Linked DNA regions of Drosophila melanogaster. The protein of the gene in region 2 interacts with the protein of the main gene of each other region in a pairwise test. Each region holds a gene or a part of one and is shown on either strand. Other genes may lie near its edges. The genes, in order: CG2017, l(3)neo38, Pdk1 and CG6654.

Region 1 (6,739 bases), 5.9 Mb from region 2:
TCCCACATCGAAGTACCCTTCTTTGGTCGTGCTCCACCAAGGCGACACAACCAGCTGGGAAAGCTGCGCTCTGTCCACCAACAGGACGACGGAACCATTATGGCCATCTGTGCCACAGGCACCTCCACAAAGGACTCATTGCTCTCGTGGATTCGCCTGTTGGAAGCGAACGGAAATCCCTCCATAGGAGAGGTGCCCGTCCTCTTCCGGTTCACATCCGAAGTGCCAGCCAAGGCGGAGGAAATTGAAGGTGGCGCCAGTGTCCCGGCAACAAGTGATAACAGTAGTCAAGATGAGCACATTAGCAGTAGACAGAAATAAACAAATTGTTGAGCACTTTTTCGTCTTTGTATACCATAGAATTGATGGTAAATGTTGCTTAAAGTTAGTCGGTTTTGATCATATGTACATATATATGTACATCTGCTAGAAGGAAAAAAATTAATACTTCGGTAATTATTTATACTCTTTGGCTCGGACGCGAATTGAAAGCAACATTGTATGCATTTTGGGGTGGATTTTAATGAAATAAGGTTAATTGAGAAGGATTACTCACAACATCCGATTGTGAGCCGAGCTTAAACGAAAAATCACAGAACCCGAAACTAAGTGTACAGAAGATCTGCCTAAGATTTAACGCCTCCCTCTAATTGCTAATTAAGTATATGTACATGTCATCTTTGTTTGAGATATATAGATATGTCATTGGAACTATCCATCTGGCCCGCTTCTCTACTTTATGCCTGTCTTGTTGACCGGAAACACCTGCGTGACAACTCCGATTCCTTTGCTGGTGCCCTCGCGGAACAGGATGCGCATTCCAGGACGCACGTACTCCGGGTGGCCGACGAACTCGAACATCACCGAAGCACAATCGTTTGTGCCCAGTCGCTCGCCGCCCATAATGCCCCGAATGACGGCCGTCTGGCGAATGCTGCCTATGTGGACTGTGGTTTGGAAGCCGACATAGATGGCCGTGGCGTGGAACAGCACGGACACCTTGGCCTGCAAAGGGAAGTTGATGTATTTATTTGGTAACGATAAATGAAAACTAGCAACTCACTTGGAAGAAGAAGGTCCCGTAGGGCTCATCCAGACTATTTCCAATATCACCCAAAAGAACCATGCCACTTCGTAGCGTGGGCACATCCTGATCCATACTGAAAGACAGCGAAGCGCTCTGACCAGCTCGGACAACTCGGCAAGGAGCCTTGTTTCGGTGGATAGTATTAACAGTAACGGGATGAAAGCTACCATCGGGAAGCGGACCAATCTTCATTGCCATATTCTCGGTCAGCACGCCCTGGACAAGTAGACCGCCCACAACGGGTCCGACGTCAGAGACCCGGAAGATCTCGTCCACCTGGAACTCGCAAGACTCCTGCTCGAGTCGATCCTTCTCGGCGTTGCTGATTCCGGGCGAAAGGACGTACAGAAACTTTGTGACTAGGTTGAGTCCCGTGCCGGTCACATTCGATACGCAAAAGATGGGCACAATGTTCTCGGAGATCTGGTTTGACCCGGCGGAGATGGCCTCATCCGTGTTGGTCACCACAAAGGGAACCTTCCGGCACCCAATGGTGGTGAGCAGGTTGCACAACTCCTGTACCGTCGCGTCCGGCGATGTGATATCTGTCTTCGTGACCAATACAAAGAAGGGCATGTCCAGTGCCCGCACGATAGCCAAGTGCTCCTCGGTGGTGTCGTTGCAACCGCTGCCCGCCGATACCACCAGCATGGCGTAGTGGGGTGAGTATCCACTCAGTGCCTGCACGGTGGTGCGCATGTAGCGTCGGTGTCCGGCTAGATCCATGAAGGTAACCAGCTTGCTGGACCTGTCGCTAATCTCCTCTGCCGTCATCATCTCATTGTACTTGTAGTTGACCACATTACCCAGTGCATCGAAGCCAAGCGTCTCGTGGGAGATGCAGGAGGTGCGGCCTTAAGGAAAAGAGGAGCAAATTGGTAATTTTCAAGCAAACAAACCGGACTTTGTGAGTGATAAATATAATTTAAAAAAAAGTTTGTAAACGAGAGATGTATGAATAATGTAGTACAACTGATATATTCCTTATTGATGACAATTTAAAATGGATGCCAAACATCTTAATTTAATTTATATCTGTGTTTAGTGCTTATAACGACATATTACCAGACTGAATCTCGTGCATGTGCCTAAACATATTGAGCCGCGCCCGGCCGTGTCCGTTATCCAGCTCGTCCTGTGTAAGCACGCCCAGCAAAGTGGATTTGCCTGCATCAGCTCCGCCGAGCACCGCCACCCGAACCTCGATGTTGTGCTGGTCGTCGGGGATCTTACGGACCAGTACCTCGGCGACGGCGCGTCGGGCGGCGATGGTCTTTCGCCGCAGCACTGAGGTACTGGCTCCTAGGCTGTGGGCCATCTGCTTGAGCGTGGTGAGCGAGGCATTCATGTCCTTGTCGCTGAGTCCCTGCAGATAGCCGGCGTCGGATACTCCAATCTCGTAGATGGCCTCGCCGTTTCCCTCGCGCAGACGCCACTTCATCTGGGTCACCAGGTGCTCGAATCGCTGCTTCGACGGGTTGACCAGCTTCAGCTTGTACTCCACATTTCCGAGCTGCGGCTCTGGTGGCAGCATTCCCTGCTCGAAGTCGAAGATCAGGTTGCCCCGCTCGGTGGGCATCCCGCTCACTACGCTGCACTCGTTGGCATTGGCGTCCGTCTCATAGTCGCTGCTGCTGCTTCCGCCGCCGCTGCTGTTGCCATTGAGCTCGGGCTCTTCCTCGAAGCCGTCGTCCTGATTGGGATCAAAGAGACTCAGGAAGGACTCCATAATGTGTTGCTGCAAAAGGGAAGCGTGGATCATATAAATACAAAATTCAGATGAGGTAAATGGTAAAAATTCTGTTTAGACAAAGGAACTCTTTGTCTTGAGAAGAAAACATTTTTTGGGCCAATTGCGACATCGAAAATGTACATATGTACATACTTATGTACATACATACAGATTTTCGAACAGCCGTGGCTGAAATAATAGCAATGAGATACATGCATAAGTAAATATTATTTGATTTGTTTACTCATACTGTACTGTATTTAGTCTGAGAATTACCCAATATAATTGGGTTGAAATAACTTTTAATATTGTACTAAAGTTTTTTTAATTTTATTTCGACACCACGTCATTTGTTTCACTTTAAAAACAATTATTTTTCAACTTCTATGTATCTTTTTGATGGAACCGTTTGCTTATGTGTATCCATCAAAACTGAAATTTTCCCCATTTGTTTTTTTGGCCGTCTTTGACTTGCAGCGACCTTGAAAATGCTTGTTTATGTTTGCCACGACTCTGGCCGTTGTTTCGAGCCCACGCGCGGGGGCAGGTGGAACAGAAGGTCGATAATACGACAAGTTCCAAACATCTTACCAGATAATCCCTATATTTGGCTCACTAATCAAACCAATCCGCTCGAGTTTATTCGAGATATTAAGCGCTAAAGCAGCTCCTATTTGCGCGCGACGCTGGCACAAAATATCGATTTTGGCTGCGCTTTTCATTTGCCCAGGTCGAATTTGTTGTTCGTTCGGCTATCTGGGTTCTGAGTGCTGTGCTTTGTAGTTGTAGTTCGTAGTTGTGTGCGTACTTGTGCTCTCCGCTTTTGGGTGCCTTTCGATTTTGTTTATAACCTGCTCCCGATTGTTTTGCTTTGTTGACCGAAGAACAAGCACCTGAATACTTCAAAAGCTTTCGCAATACCTTACCCTAGGGCGTTTGAGTTCTTTCATGGAACGTATTTTTTGTTTAGCAAGTGGGGGTTGAGCTTAAAAAAATTAACTTAGTGAATTTCCACAAGAAGAAAGTTACCTAAATATTTAATGCGGGATGTTATTACGAACCTATTTAATTACTAAAGCTAACGATAAATGGTAAATTTATAGGTTTTAATTCTAATTACTTTATTTTTGCAATTAGAAGGCAGGATATACAATGTTTAATTACGTCACACGCCATTACGTCCTTCGACACTGGAACTATAAAAGTTAACTTTTTCACGATTTTGATGCGAAGCCGCGACGTTTGATAATTTTATTCAACAATTAATGCTTGGCTTTCCACAATTCAAACACACCTCTTTAGTTCTACGATTGTTGTTCAAATAAGGAAACTTAGTTTAAAAACGAACCTTCTTAATTGTGAGATAACTCCCACACAATTAAATTATTACGTTTTATGTAGATACGCAATCTGTGTTGCGTAGCGGATTTCTGATCGACCAGACCCTTTCCTTTTTCGGCGCGTAGTTTTGACAGCTTTTCGCGTCTTGTCCTCGCCGCGTTTGCTTCGCATTTGATTTTCTACACAAGCGCTTTTGTTTTGACCGCGTCAGCTGCGTTATTATTCTCTATCTCTATCTCGAAATTGATTGAGGACGCTTCGCGGAAAGCTCCTTTCCGTTTGAATTCCGGGAAGTAACTGTCGCGTTTACCGAATTCATGCAACCAACAAACAAAAGCTTGGCAAGCATAGAGCGGAATTTCACAAGAAACAAAAATCGCGCTGCGATTTCATCAGCAAAACAAAAATGGAGTCAATGTGCTGCACTTACGCAGTTGCTGATGCAATACTGCGCCACAATGCGCGGATCTTCAATGGTCTCTGTGTGGGTGTTGCTGTTCGTGTTCGATTCACGTTGCCATGGCAATTTTGCACTCATGTGGGTTAAGCACTCACAACACACTTCAAATTTCGGGGACGCCAAAGTTGCGCCAGCAATCCAATCAATTATTATAAACCATAAACTTCCTACATTTTGTGACTCCGACAAACAGATGTTTATGCTCGCCACGCGTTAGTCCCTTTTGGACACTGACCTATCCAGTTGCTGCGCACCCTTACCAACACTGGCTGACGGGGCGTCCATTGTGAACGGCACACATTTTTCAAATTTAAATAGTAACGTATTTTTAACAATAAATGGGGTTGCGAAGGCGGTCATCTGCATGTCCTACATTTCCATACTTTACTTTAGTACTTTAGTGTTGAGAATTCGTTTTGGTAAATTTTACTCAAATAAGTTTATTAGCCAGCATAGAACTTAATTCCAATCTCGATGGAGCTATCTTGCAAGCTCAAAAACATCTGCTTTGCTACAAAATAATTTTGTATTGGTATCAAAAAATCATTCAAATGAGTGAAGATATGGTAACGTTTTTAGATTGCTAAAAAAAGAATTTAGGAAACCTTGTGCCTCCCAGCAATGAAAATACAACTCGAATTGCTTTAATTCAAACTCAATGTATTCTCATTAATATATTTACGTTTTATTCCTTATCATTAACATTATTACTTTATCACAAATATTTTAAGCATTTTTACATATGTAGTCAGTTACAATGATGTGTATATGTATGTATGTCTGTCTGTTTTCGGGACTTGGGCTTGCATGTATGTATGTACATCGTTGACCTCTCTGAGGCTCATAAAATAGTATCTGCTGACCTCGACATGGATCATGGGGATGTCGTGATGCTACAGGTTGTTGGGGATCGTTTTAAAATTGCACTACTGGCACTCGATTTTGGTTATCTACAGCGGGGACCTTTACTATATATGTATAAACTTGGAGGAAGTTTACGATTTGCTCTACCAGTTACCTGGATGCTATAACTTTTACATTTAAACATTATGACATTACATTGATTTTACTAATCGCTATCGATGACTTAGCATATACATTTCTTTTTTTCAATTACGTTTTTTCGATAGAAAGTCAAGAACTGAATCGCCCAACTGATATGACAAACGTTAGAACACTTATAGTCGTTTAGCCCTTGTCTTGAGTATGATATAGTCGTATAGCATTTCCGATGTGCTAATGCCTTGATAACAATTGCCAATGAAAGGGGGATGATAGGGTGGTGGGGGGGTGGGGGCTACGCTCCCCTCTTGAACTGCCCCAATCCTGCGAGCTGGGCCGACCCATTCAATATCCAATAAATAATGCTCAAGAATACATTCGTTGTGTATGTGTGTGTGTGTGTGCGTGCTCAGGTCCAACTGGTTGGCGTTCGTCAATGAGGTGTCTGTCTGTCGGAATTGGCCGGAATCGGGCCCATCAAATGGCCATCTGGAAGTGGAACTCCGTGCCTTTTATCCCTCTTATCGCTCGACCCGCATAAATCATTTTATTAGCTTATTAAAAAGTTTTCCATTTATTGTCATCGTTTTGCGCTATCGTGCGCACAAATCCGTGCCCAGTTCTATATACCCATTCATTTGGGATGGGGTACTCCGGATTGGTGATTCGGCCGGCAGCATGGATTGGGATATTTTTCTAAACTTTTCTTTATTGCTCACTTGTTGGCTGGCCCCGCTGCTAATGCCAGTGGAGCCGGAGCGGTAGCGGGAGCGGGAGCAACTGCTGTGACCATTAAATTCAAATCTGGTGCTGTTTTTGGCGCGTGTTTAAAAGTTAAATAATGACCAGCACTGGGCACGCAATGGCGCAAGACGTGTCCAATATAACTTTGCCTTTTTTCGGGTCGGCCCGACTTTGATCTCGTTTGCGGGAGGGCAGTTCAAATAGTGCGTCTGCGGCAGGAGGGGCTATGTTTTCCGGGGGATGTGTTCTTCTCACTTTAGCCGGGACAAACAGATTCAACAACGAGTTTCGAGTTGGAGAGCCCTGCTCCCAGCCACTCGGCCTCGCAATGGGTACAGGTCGTGGAAGATTAGTTTCACCTTGGGGGTCGCCC
Region 2 (4,626 bases):
ACACATACGTATATGCATTTAATTGTATTTCTATGTATGTGCTTAAGTAGCTGAAGAGAGCGGTGAAACCCACCCCTACAAAAAAACAAAGTGAAATGCAGCAAATTCAAAAGTTATTTGAGTTCATTGCATTTTCAAGCCACGCAAAACAACAACAGCCATAGCTTACACTCACACACACACAGGTTACACCCACTTGGGGGTGGGTGGTAATGACTCAAAACATAGAGCGGAATATTCGTATAAAAAGAGCGCAAAACAAAAACAACGACGAAAAAATCGTTAAATTCTGCTTTGATGACAGGGTATACTCGTACTCGTACTAAGTCGCTCCAACCCGCCAACCAACCCCCAAAAAATTGTAGTGCGGTTTACAAATTGCCTGAAGAAGATGTCTTTGCTAGCCAGAAAGCGAGAATTTCGTAGATGGGGGTGGAAAACCCGCTTACACTCACACATGTCTTTATGCGAATGTCAGTAAGTAGATCCAGATGGAAGCCACCTTTCGCTGGGAATTCAAGGAAAGTATTGTTCGAGTTTCAAGTGGGACTTTTTTTTTAGCTGAGTATTGGAAACGAAATTTTAACTAAGCTTCAGAGAATTGAAACTATTGAGAATTATTCATAGGATTGTCATAAGGTCCTACGATTTGTTTGAAGCAAAGTATGCTAAACAGAAGGTCAAATCAAACTTTATGTTGAGATCAATAAACCTCTTTGTTCGTGAACTCCAGAATATTATTGTAAAATAATACAGCTATAAGCAATTTGTATTAATTTCATTTAAATATTTTTGCTTACTCTACTTGCTTTTTCCTGCCGTCATGAATACTAAAATATGAACCAATTGGACAATCAAGAGGTGTTATTCACCGAAATTAGAGGTTGTATATTTTTTACGTTTTACTATTCTCATTTATGATGATCTTAATCATAAGTTATTGCAAGAAGTACCCGTTAGTTTTTGATGACTATCAGCAGCCCGTTTAGTTTATTTTTGAAAAAGAAGGCTATCCAGAAGTTGCCATTCCAACAAGAGTAGTGCCCTTTGCCCCAAAACAAGACCCTCTGTGTGTAGGGCATTAGGCGAGGCAGTAGCCGACCCCCTCTGCCACTGCCTCTGTCAACGACTCTGTCTCCCCACCACCACCGCCACTGTCGCTGCTCGAGTGAGAGTGTATACCCCCTGACGCTTTGACGCCGGCGTCGCTGCCCGCAGCGGGCGAAAATAAATCGATAAAAATAAAATAAATTTTTAGTGATTATGTTATACAGACACATGTGCCTGCATGTGCATTGCAGGCGATTGTCTGTCCGTATGTGTAGCCACATTGTAAATGTTGTATAGTATAGTGTAGTGGTGGGGCAGATGCACTTACCGTTGGGCACATTCTGATTAAAGTGATTGCCATTGGTCTGATATCGCTGCACATGGTTATCGGTGCCGGCCGCTGCCGCTGCGGCTGCTGCATTCGCGGCAGCCGCGGGGGGCGTGCCGAAGGCGCCCGGCGTCTGGGCGTCGAATTTAGCGGCAAATTGGTGGATGCCGGAGAAGGGGCCGCCGAACGCGGAGAAGTTCATCATGTCAGGATCGGGATGATCGGCGGGGTAATGGATAGTAGTTCTAGGGCCTCGAGGGGCCCTTTTGGTTTAAGCAAGACAATCTTTCGAATCGCTTTAGCACTAAAACTCGATCGGTCGCTAATATTACTTGCAATTCTATTTCTTTTCTTTTTTGTAATTATTTTCTGCACAACGCGAAACGATGACGAAGTGTTGTAGTGGGTGGTGGCGGTAATGGTAATGATGGTGGTGGTGCGCTGGTTGTGTGCCTTCTGTTGTTGTTTTCCTGTTCTCCGCCGTCGCTGGTGGGGGTTGGTTTTCTTTTCTTTGCCTCCTTTCCCCTGGTCGCACTCATACACTAGCACTCACACAGAGGCACATAGACACACGTACGCGCTTACGAGCGCACAGTTTTATGCTGTGCTTTGCTTTTTCGGGGGTAGAAAAGCAGAAAAGCGGGCCCAAACACAACACGTACACACACACACACACTAGCTCGCACACGCGGAGAACCACTTTCGGTTTCGATTTTGATTCTCGATTCCGCTGGATTCTGATTCCGATTCTGCTTCTGCTTCGCCTCAGCTCGAACTAAGCACGCACACACAACCGGCGGAACGGAGCGGAATCGCACTAAAGTCTCGCTTACGATTTCGCTTACGACCGGCTCGTCGAGGCTCCGACATCAAACTAAAAGTAACATTACAACGAGGCGAAAGAAAGCGGAAACACTGGGCCAGGCAAAGCGACGCGGACGCGGACGGCGGCAGCGCTGCGACGCAAATGACAGTGACAGTGCCCAGAGGCACGCTGGGTATATCGGTTGGGAGGTATTCGCACCCCTTTTCCTCGCTTATGGTTTAGATGGTTTTTAGTTTTTATATTTCGTTAGAGGGCTAATGGCACTCGTTTTCATCCAATCTCTCATGGTTACCTTTATCGGTAGTTTAGATGGGTATTTTACCTATAAGTTGATCGTTTAATTAGTTTTTCAAATTATTTAATACATATAATAAATAGAATGTTTTTAAATCAACCGATTGCTAATGATAATTTTACACCCCTTTTAGCGCTCCTCTTGTTAAATATATTTTTTTTAATTATTCCCAAGATCATGTTAAGCATTGGCAATGACCCCCCGCATTTACTGGGTAGCAACTATTCGTCTACCAACCAATTGCACGACTGCAGCATTCTTACATGTCTGTATTAGTTCGCTGTGTGTTTGTACGACTGTCTGTATGTTTGTGCGCTGTGTGCCGCTTTGAGGGTGGAAGTTTTTCTACTTCTCTGGAAAATGCGCGTTTATTTGAACGTTCCTTACATTTCGCTGCACCGAGTGTCGGGCATATGACACTGGTCCCAGGCCCCTGCTCCCGAAATTGGCTTGGTCACTTGGCCAGATTGCTGGGCAGAATATTCATGCGCGATCCGTGCAGGCGAAGTGCAATTTATGCTGGGACTGAAGCCGATACCGAGCTGATCCGAACCTCATAGCCAGACACGCAGTGAGACGAGCCACGAAATTCGCTGTAAGTTATCAGGATGAAAACCGGTTGGGAGCGAAGCATAAAAACTGGTTTCCAGCGAGAGATGAGCTACTTTTTGTGACCGCCGTCGAGGCAACAACAAATGTATTGACAACGTCGACCAGGATGACTTTTTGAATATCTGGATTTGGTTTAGGCACAGCAGAAAGGGCCATTAAGATTGCATTTATGTATTTTAATGGTAGGGAATAAATTTATTTGCATAACAAAATTCTGGATCTTGATCACTTTGGATGCCCTAAACTACTAAAACTACTATTGTAGTTCTTTGGAGGGTAAAAGGATAACCTGCTTTTAATATATTTCCTGATAATGGCTACCTTGTTGAAGAACATTTTTTAAAAATATTACATTATATCTGGGTTTGAATATAGCCTTTAGGACTCGAAACAATCATAATGAAATTTCTTATTAACTTGCAAAAAGGGTACTCATAGATCGACGTAGAGTGTCCACAAGAAAAACGCACATACAATGCGCCTTGTATTTTTATTTGGTTTTCCAACTTTTTGGGGTTGTGTGGTATGGCTGTGCACTTATACGTTTACATGTGAATATGTCAGTTTGTAGCGGCGTATGTACGATGTGTTTTCAAGTATCTATGTTTGGCTATATGCTTGTGTGCATGTATCTGGATCTGTTTGCCCACGGACATGTGTAGACGAAGGGAAAGGAGAGGCCGAGAGAGCAGAGCGTTCTCGAGCGCATTGCTCTCGTTGCATTCAATTCTGCCTCTGCTGTATGTTGTATTAATGAAAGTGAGTCCAGCGGCGAAAGAAAGCAGGCCGTGGAACTAAGACAAGTTCTTTTTTTGATTCCGCTTCTGCCTCTGTTCTCCTGCCTTCTTGCAAGTGTTTTCATGTTTTCCAAACCCACATCTAGGGGTTCGAGATCGGTAAAATAACTCCCCCTAGGAGTTTCGACCCATTTTCAATTAGTGATCCCTCTTCATTATGAATTTTGATGACAGATAAATACTTGTATGTACATACATATATATGTACATACATATATACCCCCATTTACATAAGCTTAATTAACGGAAATATTTCTATAACCTAGAGATATAATAATATGCGTATGACTTCTTTTTTTAATAAATTTAAGCAATCTCTATTTATAATATTAACATTATTAAGTAACAAAATAAATGCGCAGGAGACCGGCAAGTCGATTCGACTGCACCTTAATTTTTATGTGTTAATTCACATATACACGTGCACTTGCATAAGCGCCTGTGTGTGCATGTCTGTATGTCTTTTCTCATTCTTGTTTTTTCCTGTTGCAGTCTTGTCTTCTACTCGTTTAATACAGAGGGTTGGAGTTTTTTACGTTCTCTCACATTCTCCTTGTTTCGTCTCTCACTCACTTGCTCGTTCTCTCGTCTTCTCTCTTTCTGCCGCGCTTGAATCTTTGAATGCAATGCTTTGTTTAGCTTGATTTTCGAGCAATTGCAACTGTTACATGTGTTATCTAGAGTTTATATGCACATTTTCCAATTATTAATTACTGCC
Region 3 (4,960 bases), on a different chromosome or scaffold from region 2:
CAAATTCCAATGGGCACACGAATGAAGAAGAAGAGCCAGCCACCGCGTACACGCACACACTGTACAGAGCGAGCGCGCGTATTTTTTCGACTCTGCGCGTGCCTGTGTATATGTATGTGTGCGGCTTTAATTTTATTTAATTCTTAGCTTTGATTCTTAACATTCGTATTGTGCTTCCCTTGATTTGCACAATTATGAAACCGCCGCAGTATGTTTCTCGAAACAAATCACAAAAGTTCGCCAGAAACAACAATAATCAAGACAATAATTCCGACGCAGTAGGAAAATTTATAAGAAACGAGACGCTGTATGTGTCTGTTATTTTTTATGCCCTCTTATTTTTCTAGGAACTGGCTCACACTCATACGTTGTACTACATTAATTTGACTAATGAAAACAATCGGTTAAATACTTTGAACACAACACGGAGGGAGAATACACTTATTTTTATTCCGATTTAGATTTTATGTAATTTATTTGGCCTTTTGTGGAGTATTATTTAATCGCACCACTACAGCACTACATCACACGAACTTGGGGCGTCGTGTATTTGCCTGTGTATGTATATCAATGCCAGCGCGCTATGGGTGTGTGTGTGTGCGTAGTCGAACGCCGCGTGCACGAAGCGACTGGTTTGAAATCCAATAAGAAACTATGGTCGGGCGAGACTTTGACTTCCAAGCATTTGGCTCGAGCAGCGAAACCGATGGGAGACGAGCGCCACCCGAGAGAACTCTCTTTGGCGTTGCCGCCCCCGCCAAGCTAACCCTCGGCGCTCTCAGTTAAATGGGGCCAAAGCAGCGCAGTCGTGTCGCCGCTGGCGTCACAATTTTTTTTACAAGGCGAACAAGTTGCGCGCCACTTTTGAGAGCGTAATTGTTGCACTGTAATTGTTTGCCAGTGACTTTTTATAAATAAACACGACGGGGCAAAGCGAAAACAAGTTTCAGTCGAAATCCACACAACTACATAAGGCCAAAGAGAGCGCACGCTCTTTTTGAAGAGAGAGAGTGAGAGAGAGAGAGAGAGAGAGAGAGAGAGGGGAGACGACCGCATTCCTAACTGTAAACAAGCAAGAAGCGGAGACACTATAAAAGTGGGAAAGAGACAAGGCGACAGGCTAAGAATGCGGCGCTGCTGGAAAAACTCGTTTTTCCCGCTGGAAAAGGAAAATATGGATAAAAAAGAATTCGAGGAATTTTCGTGCGAAAGAGAAAGAGAAGTGGTGTAAAAATAAACAAGAATCCGAACCCGATTACGAATACATACACAGGGCAACGAAGGAAGAGAATTGGAATAGCTGAAAAACAGAGCGGACAAAACAAAATGCTTGAAAAGCGAAGGGGCAGCTCAAAGCGGACAAGCTGATACGTAGTAAAACATACCAACGACGGCAACTTCAAATGTAAATAAGTATATAAACGAGGTATGTAAGCGGATGAGTGTGTGCAACAACAACAGTAAACCTAATGACAACAAACCGAGCAACAGACATGCAAGTGAAAGGCCTTTGCGTTGTTTCCCATCCACTACTCAAGTTATTTGCAAAATAAAAACAGCTAAAAGAAGACAAAGTGATGAACTCGGATCGGGAGAGAGAGGGGCATAATTTTACTTTTGGCTGCTTGCAAGAGAAAATAAAATAAATAATTCATTTATTGGTTGCTGCTAATAGATAGCAATTAAAAGTAAAAGAAACCACAATAAATTGTTGTTTAGAAACCAGCTGGAATCATTGTGTTTTTTTGCTGTGAATTTTTGTTGTTGTTTTTAAAGTATCAAGCAATTTGCGAGGCAATGAACTGCAGTTGTTAAATAAATTTAGTCAACCCCTGCGGCTTCATTAAACTTTTTTATGCATTTTATTTTCGTTGTCGGGTGCCTGCAAAATAATTATACACATCCACTGCCTATTTATGTCGAGTAATATAAGCATCTGAAAATGTATTCATAATCAACTCCATCTAGATAGCTTTTAAAGTGGTTGTTATACAGACAGTCGTTGAATTATCTTATTTTATTGCCCACTTAGTGAGGAGTTTATGGCTTTGATCTTTATATATTATACCAGCATGTGTTGTCAATGGAAATTTTTTAGATGAAATGTACGGAAATATTTAAATTTATTGGTAACAAGAATTGCAAAAAGTAAAAATACTTTTTTTTTTTGCTATATAGCTCAAACATTAAATTTCACAGCTTTATGAGTATTTCATTATTTCATGTCAATAAATTATTTTGCAGCTTTTGTATTTTGTAAACAAAAATTTGTACAACCAATTCAATTTTTTTTTCCAAGAACAATTTTGTGTAATTTAACGATAAAATTGATGGGAGGTATTTTCTCGAAAGCATTACTTGTAGTTTGTAAAAAAAGTTTTACTAAATTATTTTAATTAAAAACAACTTTAACAAATTGTACTTTCGCATTACCCCATATCTATGCTATAAACTTATTTTTTAACACCTTAACAAGTCTCATAAGCCTCATAAGATATATTCACTTAATCAAAATTTAAATAAATATAAGTATATATGTATCAGGGCCAAACACCGCACCTTTTTAAGACACTATTTACCTTGATAGACTTTATTTTGCGCACAACGTAGTTGTTAATTTTGTTGGACCAGCTTTTACATTTCATGATATTTTTCGCGTTCTCCGCCGTTCTCGGGGAGGATGAAGAGGCAAAGACAACGGTAAACGGATTGCTTTCGTCACTTGAAGTTGCTGCCCTCACTCATTTCAGTTTCATTTCGTTTTACCGGTTTTTGTAATATTTTTTTATTTGCTTCACTTTGCGATATTTATTCACTTGAGTTTTCACCGCCCGGCGACAGTTGCAAAACCTTTGTGATTGCAAATGGTAATTATACGTATACACGAAGACTCGGGTCTTACTCGCATTTCTTTTTGGCGCGATAAAAGGAAAATTGGACGTTGTGGTTTTTCCAACAGGGCGTCAAATTTGTATCCGTGATTACGACCGAACCCGTCAAATTTCCGATTCGAAATGAGTCGAAAAGGCGAAAGAAAAGGCAAGGAGAGCGCGCTAAACTGGGAACGGCGGCATTGGGCCACAGTTACCAAATCGTGAGCGCGGAGAACTGGAAGAGAGATAGAGAGTTATGGGGTAAAAAAGAGTGCGGAGAAGTGTAAGAATTTTCATTTGAGTTTTAATCGACACATGAATAATGGGAAAATTATGTTATTTTTTATTAAGTTAGCTTTAAATTTATATTTTTGTATTCTTTTTTAAATAATTAGTTTTTAACGGGTTTTGTTTGTTTTTCTTTGATTTTGCGTATATATTGCATCTGTTGAAACACGTTATTGTCACCCTAATGTTGGATAGCTATTAAATTTGGGTATTTCTGGAACTTTCTTGAATTATTTGCAGGTCTTTCGAAAAAACAGTTATGCATATCCTATTCATTTCACCGATTTGCAAGTCACGGTTCCGTTATTGCCGCGAGTGGGCAAGCTATTTGCGTTTTCTTTTACATTTCGAATGCGCCGCCCATTAATTATTTATTTATTAATGAGTAAGTGACGCACTTGTTTTCATCCACTTATTTGTTGTTACTGCAACGAATCTTGCTTACATTTACATACATACATACATAGGTACATAATTCCATCAAGATCATGCATCAGTGCCACGCCCCCATCTATAAAATGAAATTGTGGACAACGTCGCTGTCGTAAACTTCCAAGGCAATTATGTATGTATGTATGTGTACAAATGTGCATTTTCTGGAATTTAAACTATTCCCGCTCTCTTCGCGCACGGATCGTTCGTTGATCCGCACTCTGGGTTCCACATTAGCATAAGTGTAAGGCCTTCTACACAAACGCGTTCCACAATTCATTCACATCGCCTGTTCCACAACTTTCCGGCGTTCCGTCACGTTCGCGCGCCTTTTCCACCCAGCGTGAAAAAATTCACTTGCTGCTCCCGCTCCCGCTCACGGTTTTATTCTCGTTTTTACGTTTTACTACGAAGCGAAAACAAAACAAAATTAAGGGGAAGCGGAAACTGCAGTTGCTTTGGCTTTGCTGACGTGGATGCCGACGCTTTCGTCATCAAGTTTTTCTCTCACTTTGTTTTTTTTTCTCTTTAAGAAATATTGTAAATATTAGTTCTGTTCCTGTTATGGTTTTTTATCTTGTTAAGAAATATTGTAAATATTAGTTCTATTCCTGTTATTTTCTATATTTGGTTGAGTTTCCATTTATGTATTATTTAAATTTCCTAGCTTAATTTGTTTAAAGACTTACTTGTGAATTGCTGCGTAGTTTAAATAACACAGTTTAATAAACACATTTAATATTCAAAGACCTTATCAATTAGCAATATAAGTAATATTTCTTTAGTTTTTGTGTACTTGTGATAAGCACTCATTCAAACTGAACGGCGTTTAGGCTCAAATAAATCTATGAAAATTACAATTCGTCTTCATCGAATGAACTTTGACTGCATATTTTAGAAATGGTCGCGAATTTTCTTCTTACCTATTTTATTTTATATAATAATCAAATTCAATTTAATTTGTCTCACCCTTAGCGAGTTCGGTGGCTTAGTTAAAATCGTTTTTATTTGGCCTCTGCTTTTAGCATTTTGTGGCTAATTTATTTCTTGCTTTCTGCTAAAAAATATTTGAAATTAGCATTTTTAATGGGCAGCAATCGAGGTTCGGCGAGACACAATGTCGCCTGAAAAATATTTTTAAAATCCCATTTGCATATATTTTCAGCCAAGCGCTTAGTATAAAAAGCTAATTTCACGAAATCCCAGCTGATTTAGTCATCAACGGTGGGCTGTGCACCAGTTTCTTTCTAATTGCTGGACTTCCCCCCGCTTGGAAGCTAAGCTTGGCAGACGAACCGGTTCGGAACCCTCGGAGCTCTCATTTAGTTGCCCATTATTAAACCCGTCGGTATCCCAGAGTTACACAT
Region 4 (4,634 bases), 3.4 Mb from region 2:
TTTTCAGACGCTTTCTGCGTGAAACTCTGAAAATGGCCAACGCCGAAGACCTCAACCGACTGACCAGCTGCTCGTTGGTTTTGCTATCGCACGTCTTTCTCAGCATCGGAAACTCAAAGGAAAGCATGAACATGGTGACGCCGGCCATGCAACTGGCCAGTAAGATACCCGACATCCACGTCCAGCTGTGGGGATCGGCAATACTAAAGGACCTGCATCGTATGTCAAAGGATGTGCAGCATGAAAAAGATGCTTATGCTAACCACGTTAAATACTCGGAGAACCTGATTGCAGACCAGCGCAAGTGCGTCCAAAGTGCGCATCACGAACTCGTCAACTGGTTCCAGGGCGATCCGCCAGTGACGAGTGGTCCGCCGGCTGCTCCCGTCCTGCTCATGCCAGAGTCCTCCGTTACAGCCTCAGTCCCCGTCATCGCCTCCACATCGACAGCCATGCAGCCGGCGGGGCAATACGGTCAGTTCTACTAGCAATGAGATGATTATGCAATGTAACTTTAAGCTTTTATTTTTATCTACGACCTAGCGACTAAGTTAAGACTAAAGATGTTCTAAAGTTGTGAATTTTGTCATAAACTGTGTTCCCGAGGGAAAGAGTAGACGGAAATGTAAAGCGGATGAGTTGTGCGCATTTGAGTTGGGTCGTTCAACTTAGGATTATAATCATTATTACAATTAAAAGTAAGGATCCGTCTTGGGTATTAGGCAAACTCAACCACCTTTACAAAAGCCGCCTTGCTTGCACAGCTTCTACATTGATTTATAGCATAAGCGCAGACTCGGTCATCTCGTTAAGTTCCTCTTCAAGGGCCCCGCTTCCGTTTTCCTTGTTGCTTAGAAATGTGAAGTGCACCAGGCGTTTGTCGTGCTGCTCGTGGCCGGCCAGATGTGATCGCATCTCGGGCATCGACTTGAACTCCTCATTGCACACCGGACAAATGTAGATCCGCTCGCCCTGATGTGTACGCTGGTGCATCTGGCAGTCACCCCGCTGCGTAAAGGTCTTCGAGCAGAAGGGACAGACGTACGGCCGCTCACCTGTGTGCGTCCTTCGGTGGTTCTTTAGCACATTGAGGGCAGTGAATCTCATGGGGCAGAGATCGCAGGCGTATGGCCGTTCGCCAGTGTGCTTTCGTTTGTGCTTGGCCAGGGAGCAACTAGTGGTGAATCTGGCCAAGCACACCTCACACTCGAAGGGCTTGTCGCCGGTGTGGGTGCGTGCATGAGAGGTGAGTTCCGCCTTGGTAACAAACGAGTGCGGGCACAGCTCGCACTTGAAACTCTTTGTCTCCGAGTGACGCAGCTTGTGCTGGCGCAGATTGGCATTCTGTGTAAAGCTCTTGCCACAGATATTGCACACAAAGGGTTTCTCGCCGGTGTGGATGCGCATGTGGTCACGCAGCGTGGACAGCATGGTGAATACTACAATATTAAGAGACAATTAAATAGGATTTTCGACCACTCTTTGTTATCTTACCTTTCTGACAGATATTGCACTGATTCCGCAGATTCCGCTTGTGGCCCTGCACCATGTGCTTGCTAAGTGCCTCCTTGGAATCACAGCGTATTCCACACTCCGGGCAATTGTGGGCACCATGACTGGCCTGGTGTTCCGCCAAGTGATCCGGCGACACGAAGACCTTTTCGCACTCATTGCACTTGTAGTTGCGATTAATGCAGCCCTTTTGGCGTCTGTGGATCATCAACGATTTCTCCACCGCGAATCCCGCATTGCAACGATCACAGTGATATTTGAGCTCAGGGGTAGTAGCTGCTCCTGACGTTGTGCTTGGCCCGTTTACTGTTCCCGCTCTTGGCGCGCTGAGTTTTCGCTGTGTTCCTAACCGATGCTGTTTGGGGGAAGGCTCTGCATCTGACGGCGGTGTAGCCGGTACATCCTGCTTGACAACTCCGCGACGCCGTGAGGTGCGCTTAGCCGACTGAGGTACTTGTTCCTTCTCTAATTCGCGTGCTTCCTCCTTAGAACCCACAGGAGTCTGATGCTTATCGTTTTCCTGCTGCGTTAGAAGCTTGGCAGCGCTCTTTCTGGTGGTTACCTGCGGAGCGGTTACTGTGATGATCTCCGCCTCGTTATCGACACCTTCGAAGATGGCCAGGTTACATTCCCTGATCTGCTGTTCCAGCTCGTGGTCGTCGCCTTCGTAAATAACATTGGTTTGGGTAAACACAACTTCCTTTTCGTCCTTCAAGTTCCCCTGGACCTGCAGGATGAGGCTGGTGGTCTTTTCGACGGGCTCATCCGGCAGCTCGTAATCGAATACCTCGCCCTCGCCTTCGTAGTCCAGGTCCACTGAAATCGTTGACTTAATCAGGCTGGTATTCTGTTCGGCGTCTGTGGTAGTCACTGCGTCCGTTTGCACGGAGGCTGTGCATCTGTCCGGCTCCCAGCTAGTGGTCTGCACAGCCTGGTCCGTCGTGGCCACTGGACAACTGATAGACACCTTGCTATCGGGCTCCTCCGGCAACGCATTCGGCAGCAATTGGCGCAGGGTGCGACTGGAGTTCTCGCACTTGATCTTGAAGGTATAGCAATTGGAGATTTCACTCAAACAGCTTAGGCACACCTTCTCGGGCAGATTATCGTTGCGGCGGGGCTTGAAAACGCGAATTAAATCGAGATTAACATGGAAATCAGGATCACTCGGCGAAGGCAACTCACCTTGGTTTTTGTGAACTCCCGGATCATGTCCGCCAGGCAGCTGCCGGATCCGCCGTCGTAGATGGACAGGAGTGGTCCCGTGGAACTCAGGCAGGTAAGACAGATCTTGTCCACATCCATTTCGCGACGCAATCGGTCAAATGCAGAAACAAAATAAAACAATTAAATAAATGCAGTATGGCTGAAGTTTGTTACGCTGAATATACCGATGCATTTCAAGTGCACCTGGTCACACCTTTAATGCTGTTGGCGGCCTTCGCGCAATTCAAAAAATAATTCTAATGAGTAAAGAAGAGTATTAAATAATCTAATTTTATGGCGATAAGTGCATTGAAATAAAATTATTTCAAATGTGAATCGTATATATACAAGAATCTGGGCTTATTCTTGTTTCATCTAATTTTTTTACTTATTAACAACAAATAATTCTTTTCCCAATCGATATTGAGTTATATTAAATTGTGATCACGAGAGTTCGGCTCATCTCTATAGATTAGAATTGTTTCGACAAAAGATAAGCTCTTTTGACCATAATCAGAAAAACACAGGTTATAAAGATTTCCCACTATGTCGAAATCCGGAGAGTTTACATTCCGGCGTGCTCTAGCTGAAGATATTAAAGATGTGCTCTCCATGATTCAAGTTGAGTTTTATAAGATTCCTATTTTAATACCAATTTGAGATACTTTTGAATTGATCTGCAGGAACTGGCTGACTTTGAGAAGATGAGCAATGGTCCCCAGCTAACAGAGGAAGGTAAGAGATGGCGAAACCCTTACCATAGTAATGAAATAATGGTAAAGTAATGGATTGTAATATGACAGATCTTAAACGAGACGCAGGACTCACTGGTGGCCAGGAGTATTGTGAAGTCTATGTGCTTGTAGACAACGATACTGAGTAAGTGCTGTAGTTCTTGGCATGACCTGATTAACTTGTGGGCTTGTTCTCCTATTCTAGTCAGGCGATTGGGTACTCCATTTGCTACAAGGCATACTCAACGTGGCAGGGACGGTACTTCTTCGTCGAGGACATCTATGTCCGCCCCGAGCACCGTAAACGCGGCGCCGGAAAGCGAATCTTCTTGGAGGTTGCATCGCGGGCTGTAGAGCTTCAGTGCCCTCGCCTGGAGTTTAATGTACTGGAATGGAATCCTGCACGCAAGTTCTACGAAAGTCTTGGTGCCGTGGATTTGACAGATAAAGAGGGCTGGCACTACTACCGCGTGGAGGAGCAACAACTGGCCAAATTGGCCGCGGATCTGAGGGCAAAAAAATCTTAACTTGATTTGATTTTCAATTTTTACTACTTTATAGTAGGGCGATAAATAATTAATAATACTTGGCCATGGGCCATATGTGCTATGAGTACATTGCAATTAATTCGTTTGGCTTCTCATTGATCCCCCGCCACACTTGCGATGACATGGATCTGCATGCTCTTCGTGGAGTTGTAGACTTGACCGGGCGGAAAGGGATGCACCTTGGAGTGGCCATCGGTTTTACTTTTGCCACCGGCAGTATACTTGGATAATCGAATGCTGGGCATTGGTAGAAAGCCGGTGCTCAGCGGCATTACATCCAGCGATATGGAATGACTGTCGACGTCCTTCATGGATACGACACCTAAAAGGTTAAGTAAAAATTAGTTAGTCAACAAGTACAGACTGTTGGTTCATCGAAGTAAGCCAATTTTCTTTTTCAGTGTTAAATGTTTCCAATCAAAAGCAAGGGCAAATCTAGTTAGTGCTACGTGTGTCCTATTCCAAGGAACTTACCCATATCTTAAAATGCAAAAGTGAATCGTGTGTAGAGAAACAGAATTAAATCATAAGCAAAGAAAGAGAGAGAGTAGTAAAGAGAATCCAACTTACCCGCTGAGCGACCGCAAACGGCCCACAGATTCTGATCGTTGAGCACCTCGTACATGAGATCCGT

Evidence for each region.
Region 1: the proteins of l(3)neo38 (region 2) and CG2017 interact in a two-hybrid assay, tested with the Drosophila melanogaster proteins (one large-scale study listed by BioGRID).
Region 3: the proteins of l(3)neo38 (region 2) and Pdk1 interact in a two-hybrid assay, tested with the Drosophila melanogaster proteins (one large-scale study listed by BioGRID).
Region 4: the proteins of l(3)neo38 (region 2) and CG6654 interact in a two-hybrid assay, tested with the Drosophila melanogaster proteins (one large-scale study listed by BioGRID).

What each region holds. Positions count from the first base shown.
Region 1 is NT_033777.3:5,857,580-5,864,318, forward strand, and holds CG2017 (uncharacterized protein), read right to left. Parts: upstream 4,827-6,739; 5' UTR 4,699-4,826; coding exon 4,591-4,698; intron 4,324-4,590; exon of another isoform or gene 4,168-4,323; intron 3,726-4,167; exon of another isoform or gene 3,411-3,725; intron 2,826-3,410; coding exon 2,153-2,825; intron 1,942-2,152; coding exon 1,064-1,941; exon of another isoform or gene 1,006-1,063; coding exon 733-1,005; 3' UTR 504-732; downstream 1-503. Other genes in the region: ECSIT, read left to right, coding at 1-321.
Region 2 is NT_033777.3:11,776,096-11,780,721, forward strand, and holds the start of l(3)neo38 (lethal (3) neo38), read right to left. Parts: upstream 3,034-4,626; 5' UTR 2,887-3,033; exon of another isoform or gene 2,763-2,886; intron 2,527-2,762; 5' UTR 1,584-2,526; coding exon 1,379-1,583; intron 1-1,378.
Region 3 is NT_037436.4:127,508-132,467, reverse strand, and holds the start of Pdk1 (Phosphoinositide-dependent kinase 1), read right to left. Parts: upstream 3,019-4,960; 5' UTR 2,646-3,018; coding exon 2,580-2,645; intron 1,739-2,579; exon of another isoform or gene 897-1,738; intron 657-896; exon of another isoform or gene 1-656.
Region 4 is NT_033777.3:15,210,769-15,215,402, forward strand, and holds CG6654 (uncharacterized protein), read right to left. Parts: upstream 2,891-4,634; 5' UTR 2,818-2,890; coding exon 2,698-2,817; intron 2,633-2,697; coding exon 1,495-2,632; intron 1,440-1,494; coding exon 778-1,439; 3' UTR 509-777; downstream 1-508. Other genes in the region: Mau2 sister chromatid cohesion factor, read left to right, coding at 8-488; CG4210 (uncharacterized protein), read left to right, coding at 3,265-3,339, 3,402-3,453, 3,522-3,597, 3,658-3,979; SIDL (shal interactor of Di-Leucine motif), read right to left, coding at 4,093-4,322, 4,571-4,634.